Linked DNA regions of Kluyveromyces lactis. The protein of the gene in region 3 binds, or shares a complex with, the protein of the main gene of each other region. Links are inferred from orthologs where the notes say so. Each region holds a gene or a part of one and is shown on either strand. Other genes may lie near its edges. The genes, in order: TFB4, SSL1 and SSL2.

Region 1 (3,074 bases), on a different chromosome or scaffold from region 3:
AACCATTTGATGGAATCCAATGGCTTATCACTGAACTGGTGGTATGTATTGCCTCCGTTTTCTTTTAGTTATCTCATCTCATCACTCAACTTCAGAACTTTAAGGTTTTGGTCTGTCTTTTCACTATTTGGATCATCAAAATAATCAATAGTGGACAAAAAAACTTTCTTATAACGCTACAACTGGACCGAATGCACTGGAAGGATATGCACTAATGTGCTGTACTCTTAGTCATATATGAGTAAACGGAGATCATCAGAAGAGCATTGCGGGGGATATGAATTAAATGGTAATGCCGTGCTTTGTTCAGACCCACCTTGTGATCATGAATGGGTTCCTATAGAATTGTACCCTAGTCATGTCAGCCAGATGCACGAGAACGTATGTACGCAATGCTTAAGGAACTTTGCTAGTGAGTATTGGATGGAATTACATATCGAAGAATTTCATAATCCGTTCAAGAACGGTAATTACAGGCTAAGATGCCTGGAACAAGATTGTTCGATGACGTTTTCAAATTCAAACGAGAGAATCGATCATTTAAAGAGACACCATTACTATAGTGATCAGTTTGACTTTGATATTTTAAATAGTGGTTGCTGACAGTGATTATATATGTACTTTAAATAGGTATGGAAAACCCCGATGCTATTTATTACTAACATTTTTCTTCTTCGGTACACCATTGCTCAATACAGGCTTTCTTCTGAGTCTGGCGATAATCTTACTGTCAAACGGCGAGTCACAAGCAGGACATTTCTGACCTGGAGGTATCACTGAAAGCACACATAAGCAAACACTACACACAAATCCGACAGCGACCACTTTACCCGTTAGAAAACATGAAGTTCTAAAATCGACAGACCCTTGATTTGGTTTAATTATCACATTTCTCAAAGACGGATCTATAAACATGGCCGTTGATAAATATTGAATTAAACCTCTTGTGTTTTCTACATGTAAGTACACCCCACTAGTGGCATCAGTTGCTTGTTGCAAGAAAGTGCTTTCTATACCCCCACCAATCTTAACCACATCGATGGAACATTTCATTTTGGTTGCCGAGAATATACAGTTCATTATTGGGATATACTGGAATATCTCATCTTTCCCCTGGGATGTACCGCACGTTATCACAAGCAACCGACTTCTCAAGCTTGTATTCTCGTTTTCCTTCAGGATTCTGTTCACGTAAGTTAATGCACTGGACATCGCTCCACTTAAACTACTCTTCATCGAAACCTTACTCTCTTGACCTTCTAATTCTTCCTTGAACAACCTATACCATTGCTCCACCACTATCTCATCCACATTACGGAACCCTCTATACATGTCAGAACTTACCATAGACATACTAGGTTTCGAATCAGCCGATGGATACAAATATTTCATACCCTCGGAGTGTGCAGCAATGAGGCACACCTGGTTTCCTGAATTGAAAGCCAAATGCGCATTCAAAAACACTACGATGGACTTCAACGCCTCTATAAGTTGCTTCTCACCAGAACTTCCTTCCGAACCACTACCAGATTGTTGTTTCGTAAGCTGGACCCATGAATGAATGCTGGTATCAACCACAACAGTGAGAAGAGAAGGCGTATCCTCTATTTCTTGAGTCTTCGATTTGGTTCCTTGGAACACTGTATCAGCGATGGCATCCATTTTAACCGCTTCCTCTTTCAAAGAAAAGGCTATTAATAATAAAAACCTGATTTCACAAAGTTGTATTCGATCCTTTATGGTATATGAAGCGTTTTAATTTAATCTATGGGTCTAGCTTTACTCTACGATTTGATCTTCCTTTAAGATCAGCTTCAACTCTAAATGTGCCTTTCCCAAATTCATGTTACTTGAAATTTCTGGCCGCCCGAAAACATTGGCCCCAAAATGTAGCAGCTTTAACTCGAAAAAAATAATGAACAAGACATCGACACAAGCAAAGAACGAACCGCTGAGAGTCATCTTGTGTTACTGAAAGAGCTGCCATTTGTTTCCTAGTTATCCAGTGAGCAAATATTAAAGGTTACCGGTACTCAAAGCTAATCGTCTTCTGTTTATAATTTTTTTTGATATTCCAACAGGTAGTGTTTGAGAGCGTTTGCATAGCATGACTGTGGATGCTGTAAGCGAATGGAAGCACTGGCTTCTTAAGTATAAGCCAGAGGCCAGCATCACACAGCATGAATGTGATCAGTTTTTATGTTGTTTTGAAGATATTAGTGGTATTCTTGCTGATACTGGGATCAACGATAAAGAAAGAGTGCGGAGTGTTGATGTGATGAGCCTGTTAATGCTAAAGATATACCAAGTTTTAAAGAAAGGTAAGAACAGCGGTAACGACAAACCTAATGAATTTGAGATGACTGTGAAAGAAATTATGTTCAGCATTGATCAGGGGATATTTTTATTTCATTACGTTATTGATTTTTGGACTGACAATACTGTGTCCATGGAGATCCCATTGAGAAATATGTTTGAGAAGCTTTTGCAGCTAATGAACCACTTGTATGGGAGTACACTGATGGAGACGGTGCTTTATGGGTGGGTTGAAACTGTTTTATCATTACAAGAAAATATGAAAGTTCAATATTATTTGTTAGACATCTTCAGTGGTCAGATCGACCTATATGTGATTCTGCGATTGAAACCAAATTTCGTTGAGACTTGTCTCAGTTTGGTCTGGGCGGAAACTCTGTGTACACAAGTTGGAAAGTGTTTATCTAACGTGTTACTAAATTGGTATAAATACCACTTTGATGAATCTTCGATAGAACAATGGTTGTTATTATGGAAGCCTTTATGCTGCCATTATTTGAACGATGCTAAATATACGAAAAAGATTCAACTTTATGTCTTGTCAAATGTTTTCAAGCAGCTTCCAGAAAGTTTTGGCATATTCATAAGAGAACATGAAGGTTTTTCTAATACATTACTGTTATCATTGCTGAAAATCGGACAAGAGTTGGCTATAGAAGAAGAGCCTTTCCATGATGAAAAATATATCAGTCTGGAAGACGTTAGGTGTCTACTGCAACAGGATCAATATAAGCTTCCTACCTTTGAACTACTTACAT
Region 2 (3,618 bases), about 300 kb from region 3:
ATTCAACCACTTAACAGAAATGTTTAATTGTGAAGAGGATGAGTCCGATTTAATTAGTGAAATCAGTTAAACCGGATTGACAGCAGACTAAAGTGATTGGAAAAATCAACAGTAAGAAGCCAATGCAAATGTAAAGAGACGTACGGTTGAACTCCCTGTGAATCTCAAGTTTGAAAGAACCTACCTGTCCTAGAGATATAGCACAAACTTGATGGTAACAGGAAGTTTATTCAGTACAGTATTTTTTTTTTGTGAGGTCGTTGAAAAATCGGTTGGTATCTTGTTGCCTTTTCTATTCGAGGTTTCATTTTGCAATTTCTCCGATGAGCTGAAAAATTTTGAAAATAATCGTTACTTTTTATTTTGTCACAATCTGAGATGCACTAAACAAGCAGATAATGATTAGGAGATGAGATTTATACAATTGTAGGGAAAGCGGTATCCAGCCAACCCAGGGGGAGTACATTGTAAATAGATGTAAAGGATGTGAGTGCCTTTTTTTTAGTAACCATTCAATGTTATATACAATTTGAGTCAATGTTTAAAAGTCGTTCTTGTGATATTTTCTTCTTGGAACTACCGAGAAAATGATTAGCGGGTTAAATTCATTTGATATTTACATTGATTGGTTTGGACTCACACCCAGGGCAGTTGTGTAACGTTTCATGAATGAATACATCACAATCTATACAAAAATCTTGATCACACTCTTCACATCTGTACCTGCTGCTTGTTAATAGTTCGCCTGTTTTGTTATTTCTTAAGGTGGGGAATCGCTTTTGGCAGCCGAAGCAATAGTCTGTAGGGAAGCTATCTGACACTGGGACTTCTTGGAAAGTCTTAAGAGGCATCAAATGATGATACGATCTTGCTAAATGTGTTGAGAGTATCAACATCAAATCACAACTCGGACATACTGTCGGTAGAGAGCAAACCTTAGTTTTGCAATTGGGACAGACGTAACCACCATGGACTAGAGTCGAATGGCAAGCACAAAATGATGGTGTGTCCTCAAATACTCTGGTAGGGAATCCCATCTTAACCAAGGTGAACCCTTTGTTCACTTTGCTCACCGGTAACGGTGTCACTGCACTTGTGAATAGTTCCTTAAAATGATGATCGTTCAATATAATCCCATAATATGAGTTATCTCCATAATTCGTCTGCTTACACAACTCTTTGCAAACGGAGACTTGAGCAGATAGACCAATAACTTTTGCTCTAATATTCTCATGTACCAATGAGCCAATCGTTTGATGAATATCACCTGGATCTGTAGTTGATAATGCACCGAAAACGATGAGTACTTCTCTAGTACAATGCGCTGGAACATGAAGTAAGAGACCTCTAGCCATCTCTAAAGCATTTTGTAAAGAAGCGTTCCCCTTTGGTTCTTGCCTACGAAGCATCTTTAAAGCATCGATATGTTCTTGAGGGTTACCACTGACCTGCGATATTAGCTGAGCTAAACCATCACGCATAACAACTACACCAATTTGAGAAATAGGATTTTGATCAAAATACTCATGAATAAAGTCTACAGCATATTGTACTGTCATTGCATATCTATTAGGTCGCAAATCTTTTTCCATCATTGCTTCGCTACAATCCAATACCAAGATAAGGGTTCTGATAATACCTCTTTGATACGGAGTAACCGTCTTCTCTGCTGCCCTTTTTTTTCTTGCTTCAACTATGCTTGCCACAATAGCAGCGATATTGCCTTCATCATCAACTTTGACAAGGTCCCAACTTCTTTGAATGTCATCTTCCCAGGCATAACCACCATTGACACCTTGTAAGTTCTTGTTGGACAGCTTCTTCTTCTTTTTCTTCTTCATTTTTCTTGGATCACGACTTCTCTTTGATAGTTGTGAATGAACTCGTTCATCCTCTTCATCATCACTAGAATTCCCATTGCCTGCACCATCCGAATCTGCAGTTTCTTTTGTTCTAACATGCTTCTTCACTTTGTTTTTCAGCACTTTGGTCTGACCATCTTGTCTATGTCTCTTGTTAGTGATTCCAATGATCCGTTCATCGTCTGATTCACTATCTATAATAGGAGGCATTATCGTAATCAAAAACGATTAATAAAATTTGACCAGAGTACAGCCAAATGTAGTCCAATTAAAAAATCGACTAATGCCTGGAGCTCTACGTCTATTCAGCCAAATTGGTGTAGCGTTACTCTTTAACCTTCAAATCTTGCTTCACTTGTTATAAATTCACTAAATTTTCTTACATGATTTTGATCATGTGATCATATGATCAAAAAGTTTCAACACAAAATAGCGAGGGTTGTATGTAAAACCTAATAATCACTGATTTTATTTAACGAACTACACCATTATACTTGAATCTTAAACGCTGAATTCTTGTGGTGGACACTCTTTATCTGAATCCCAGTCCAATGGTTTTTCACTCATGTAGTATTCGATGGTACCACCGTGTTCGAATAGCTCGGAATGTCTAAACCAGTTCTTATCGAGTTCTTTGTCATTGATAACAACTTTCTCAATGAAGTTGTTTCTGACACCAAATTCTGAATATAAGTTATGTGCAAAAATTTCAATATCTGGAACGTTAGGCATGCTTTTAAGTTTCAAATAATTAACTTTCGGACTTGTTAATAAATAAATATCAGTACCAGCCACGGGATAAAAACCTAGAAGGGCAAAGGTTAGCCACGCTTGCATGGCTCCTGCATCAGAATTCCCTGGCAAACCACGCGGTCCCGTCTTAAACTTTGTATTTATGATCCAATCCACTAATGCTGACGTTTTATCTTGTCTGTTAATGTACGCGTAAAGATAAGGTGTCAAAAAACTTGGTTCATTGCCAATATCAACCACGTTCTCATGGCCACAGAACGCATACATATCATCTAAACGTTTTTCAAACATTGCTTTCGAACCAATGTATTCTAATAAAGTCTTCATATCAAAAGGCACCGTCCACCCATATTCCACGGGTTTTCCTTCATATTCATCGTCTCTCCAATAGCAACCAAAGCATGTAAACGGATCATATCTATGTTGAGCAAACGTACCGTCAGAATTCCTAGGTTGTACGAATCCGGTGTAGTCATAGTGTATATTCACACTTTTAGCATTTGGGTTCCAAATGTTACGCCAGTTTTTCGATCTTTCAAGGTATGTCTTTGCTAAATCTTTTTTACCGAGACCTTTGGCAACGATATAAAGGGCAAAATCGTTATACGAATACTCCATAGTTCTGGTGACACTTCTTGAGTAATTTCTTGTTATGTACCCCAATTCAAGCCATTCTTTTAAAGCGCCTCTCCCAAATTTGTTTGTCGAGTCGTTAGCCATAGGGTCCTCAATGTAAGGCGGCTCCACTTCTGCATTGGTATACATAGCTTGGAAGCCCTTCTCCCAATCGATCCCTTGATGAACGTTCTTAATGAAAGCATCCGCCAACATGATATCTGAGTTGCTACCCCCTTGTGTTCTTCCAGATCTGTCACCAGATCTGCCATCCGGCATGAAACCTTCAACCTCCCAGATATCAATTAAAGAACGTACCATTTCTGCACCATGGTCTTGTGATATGATATTAATCAAGGGGTGAAGACATCTGAACGTATCCCAAAGT
Region 3 (4,287 bases):
TACAATATCAATACTGTTGAAATTCACTGTGCAAAAGCAATCATTTCTTTGTTTATTTTAGACAGCGGACGAAAACATCTTTTTATAGTGATTATATGTGGTATATTTAAGTATTAGGATTTTATAAAACTGATTCGTGATGCGATTTTTGGAAAGATGATTCATTTGCTGTTTAAAGTATGCCAGTTTAATACGGATGATAAATTATAAAACCCAATATTGTTCATTTATTTGCACTTCTATAGTACATTTTACGGATCAATGGATGATGATCTCTTAAGTCTTTATTCTTATTGGAACTGTATTCTAGGTATGCCATATCCTCACCACCAGCCAAACCAGCCAAAGATCCTTCGCTCTTAACAGCCTTAGATTTGTTCCTTGGTCTCTTGTTCCCACCATTCTTCCAAATGTAGCTATCGTTATCCTCACCTGCTTCAATGCCTGCAGCTTCTTCGTTTTTGAGAAGAACTTCTTGCAAAAGTTCTCTACGTTCTCTAGCAGAAGAATATGCTAGATTAGGCAAGTTTTCCATACCATGTAGATGGGTGATAACCTTGAAAGCATAACCTTGATCAACTAAAAATGCCTGTCTCTTTGTGGAGTAGTACATTTCTTGAGTATCTTTAGAAACTAGAGAATAGAAGAAGGCGTTGAACCCTTCATCGTTACGTCTCTTAGCTCTTAAAATTCTACCCAATCTTTGTGCTTCTTGACGTCTAGACCCGTAATGAGACGAAATTTGGATCAAACAAGTCGCCTCTGGCAAATCAATCGAAGTATCTCCAACCTTTGATAAGAAAATGGTATTGATTTGGTCATTATATTGAAAATTCTGCAAAATATTCATACGCTCTTGTTGTGGCGTGGAACCGTAAATGAAAGGCTTACCTAGCTTCAAAGCATATTCTTGAAGAGCGTAGACGTTATCTGAAAAGACGATAATTTTATCACCTCTCTTTTCATGATATTGAATCAAAAATTGACACGCCTGGAACTTGGTTGGATTCATAATATATAGTAGCATTCTTTTTCTCGCATTCTCTCTTAGATATTCTTGGTAAAACTCTGCAGTCATTGGACACCAAACTTCCGCACACTGCACATTAGCAATGTGACCTTTCTGTGAAAGTTCCATCCAATTAGCTTCGTAAAGTTTTGGACCAATCAAGAAATTCAAATCACTAATCTTGTCATCTTCACGCACCAAAGTTGCAGTTAAACCTAATTTTGCATGTGCGGCAATAGTGGACACAACACGTCTAAACATGGCTGCAGGTACGACATGTACTTCATCCAAAATAATGAAACCCCATTCTCTACCCGTTAAGAAATCCATAACCTTTTGAGAATCGTACGATCTATTTCTAGTGTTAGCAACCATGGAATAAGTCGAGACCACCAGACCAGATTCAGTTTGGAACATTTCTTTGTTATCTGATGTGAAGACGGCAACATTTTCAGGCTGGAGCGTACACCACTGAAGGAATTGTTGTCTCCATTGCATGACTGACACTGACGAAGTACAAAGCACGATCACAGACTTTTTGATAGTACATGCCGCTGTGATACCGACCAAAGTCTTACCAGCACCGCATGGTAACACAATAATACCACTTCTTGCACGACCGTTACCGAACATTTTGCTCAAGGATTTTTCCTGATATGGTCTGATTTGAGTTGATGGTTTCAAATCGATATCTAAATCTGGATTTCTTCGATCGTTCCTGAAATCATATTCTTCCAACACCGGATAGTCAAGTTCTTGACATCTTTTCTTCACAATTTCGACAGATGCATTGTCAATTTCGAAAGCATGAACCGCATCTATATCATCGTCTTCTTCTTCAAGTTCCTTATTGGCCCCCACGACAGCTGAAAAGACAGCTTCCACATCGTTAGGATCCACTCCCTCTGCATCTACCATCTTATTCGCCATGGTTTTCTTAACCGCAGCATCCACTGCAGCATCGGTATCGATTCTTAGATTACCAATGATTTGATCGTTTAACAACATTTGCAAGATATCAGCTTGAGAAGTTTCCACGAAATATCTATTATGCTTAATGACCAATTTCACCTTACCGTATGATACAGTTGCACTCTTAATGAAGTTGATAATCGAAGGTGCAACAGGAACCTTGGACAATCTGTCCAATACTGCTATGATATCTTCAGTTTCCAAACCAACCGAAACCGCAGCATACAAAGAGTAAGCCGTAATTCTGTACTCATGAATATGAGATGGTCTAGAAACGGGTTCTGCGATCGTCACAAGAAAATCCTGTGCTTGTTCTGCCAATGGAGAGAATGATTCTAAGATCACACGTCCATCGTTAGGCGATATCCATAAAGGCCGCGAGGCATGATCCGGCTTCAATTTTAAGTAGCTGAAATCGTTAGTCTTGAACATTCCTGAAACAACGTCAGGCTCAAAATCAGGGGGAATATCGTCCAAATGTGCATGAAGGATATCATCCTTTGCTGCTAGATTATGGTTCATTCCACTACCAGCAGTTGCAGCAGCAGCAGATCTAGAAGAAGAAGAACTTTTCTTCGATTTCCGACTCAAAAGAGGATTCACTTGAGGAGCAGGAGCGTTCGCCTGCATTAGAGATTCCTTTAACTCAGCTTCCTCTTCTTCATCTAAGACATCATCGTCGATATCTGGGGCAATATCCCCGTATTCTTCATCGTCTGTAACCAAAGAGTCATCTGAAAAAACCGTGTCCTGCACTAATTTCTCCTTTCCACCTCTACTTCTTGTGTGATATGAACGCTTCACTACCTCATCTTCCATAATGACACAATTAGTGTACAGATAGACTCCGGGGATAGACCTTAATTCCCTTGTCCGTCCTTGGACTTTGATTCTTAAACATCTAATTAAAGTTAAAGTTCTCTTAAAATCATCTTTCAGATTAATAATGTTGAGGCAAAAATGATTACCCGGACAAACAATATAACCAGAATGAGCCAAAAACCCAATATAAGTTAGAGTTGGATGACCAACTAATAACCATTGCAACCACTAGGTAGTTCCACGATTAACAATACAACAACGAGGTTGCCGAATAGACGAAAAGGCCGGTTTTGCTAGTTGTTTTTACAGTTTTAGTAGTTGTAAGACTGAAACAACCCATACACCACACCTCAGGACATCGTCACATAGTACGGCAAAAGAAACGTATTGAAAAAAAATTCGAGATTAATAGCGTTATCCAAACGAGATGAGCTTGCGATGAGGTAGGTTCAGATCTTATCCAAGAGCGATTACGATAGGATCACCAGTGGTTTGGGTGAGGAAATAGTCTAATTTTTACAGATGAGTGTTAAGAAGCAAAGTTCCAAGTCTTCAGTGCCAAAATTGACGAAGAAAGATGACAAAAAGGTAAAATCATCGTCAAGTGGTTCAGAGTCTAGTTCCAATTCCAGCGACAGCTCGAGTTCAGGTTCAGGTTCAGGTTCAGGTTCAGGTTCAGATTCGGATTCGGATTCTGGCTCAGACTCTAGTTCAAGCTCTAGCTCAGATTCAGAATCGAACTCTGATAGTAGCTCCAGTTCCAGTTCCAGTTCCAGTTCCAGTTCCAGTTCAGACTCAGACTCCAGTTCAGACTCAGATTCTAGTTCCAGCTCAGACTCTAGTTCCAGCTCAGACTCTGATTCCGACTCAGACTCTAGCTCCAGTGCCAGCTCAGAATCCGATGATGAGGACGAAAAAGACATCAAAATTAAGATAAAAGATGAAAAATCTGAGCCAGTAGCAGTGGAAGTAAAGGTGTCGAAATCGTCAAACTCGGACTCGGAATCTAGTTCTGATTCTAGCTCCGATTCAGACTCTAGCTCCGATTCAAGCTCTGACTCAGACTCCGATTCAAACTCTAGCTCTAGCTCTAGTTCAGATTCAGATTCAGACTCTAGCTCTAGCTCCAGCTCGGACTCTAGTTCGGACTCTAGTTCAGACTCAGACTCAGACTCAGACTCAGACTCAGACTCAGACTCAGATTCGTCCTCAGATTCGTCCTCCTCATCTAGCGACTCCGATAGCAGCGATAGCGAAACTGCAGTAGAAACCGAAACCAACAGCAAACGTCCTCTTGAAACTGAATCTGATTCCACTGAAAATTCCAAAGAATCATCACAAGAACCTTCAACAAAGAAACAAATGATTTCAGCTGGCGTTGATGAAGTATTGCCTGGACAAAGAAAACATTTCTCCAGAGTCGAAAGAGAGAAGATTGCATTTGAACACGAAGTCCTGACAGATAATACATACAAAGGTGCCGC

The links.
Region 1: SSL2 (region 3) and TFB4 share a complex: the UniProt entries of both Saccharomyces cerevisiae proteins name them as parts of the 7-subunit TFIIH core complex. The link is inferred for Kluyveromyces lactis from reciprocal best matches to the Saccharomyces cerevisiae genes SSL2 and TFB4.
Region 2: SSL2 (region 3) and SSL1 share a complex: the UniProt entries of both Saccharomyces cerevisiae proteins name them as parts of the 7-subunit TFIIH core complex. The link is inferred for Kluyveromyces lactis from reciprocal best matches to the Saccharomyces cerevisiae genes SSL2 and SSL1.

What each region holds. Positions count from the first base shown.
Region 1 is NC_006038.1:755,910-758,983, forward strand, and holds TFB4 (TFIIH/NER complex subunit TFB4), read right to left. Parts: upstream 1,663-3,074; coding exon 649-1,662; downstream 1-648. Other genes in the region: BRR1 (Brr1p), read right to left, coding at 1-6; KLLA0_B08547g (uncharacterized protein), read left to right, coding at 238-603; tRNA methylation protein TRM732, read left to right, coding at 2,108-3,074. UniProt on the Saccharomyces cerevisiae protein: Component of the general transcription and DNA repair factor IIH (TFIIH) core complex, which is involved in general and transcription-coupled nucleotide excision repair (NER) of damaged DNA and, when complexed to TFIIK, in RNA transcription by RNA polymerase II.
Region 2 is NC_006041.1:850,041-853,658, reverse strand, and holds SSL1 (TFIIH/NER complex subunit SSL1), read right to left. Parts: upstream 2,073-3,618; coding exon 606-2,072; downstream 1-605. Other genes in the region: KLLA0_E09593g (uncharacterized protein), read right to left, coding at 2,364-3,618. UniProt on the Saccharomyces cerevisiae protein: Component of the general transcription and DNA repair factor IIH (TFIIH) core complex, which is involved in general and transcription-coupled nucleotide excision repair (NER) of damaged DNA and, when complexed to TFIIK, in RNA transcription by RNA polymerase II.
Region 3 is NC_006041.1:1,154,021-1,158,307, forward strand, and holds SSL2 (TFIIH/NER complex ATPase/helicase subunit SSL2), read right to left. Parts: upstream 2,801-4,287; coding exon 224-2,800; downstream 1-223. Other genes in the region: SRP40 (Srp40p), read left to right, coding at 3,326-4,287. UniProt on the Saccharomyces cerevisiae protein: ATP-dependent DNA translocase. Component of the general transcription and DNA repair factor IIH (TFIIH) core complex. When complexed to CDK-activating kinase (CAK), involved in RNA transcription by RNA polymerase II.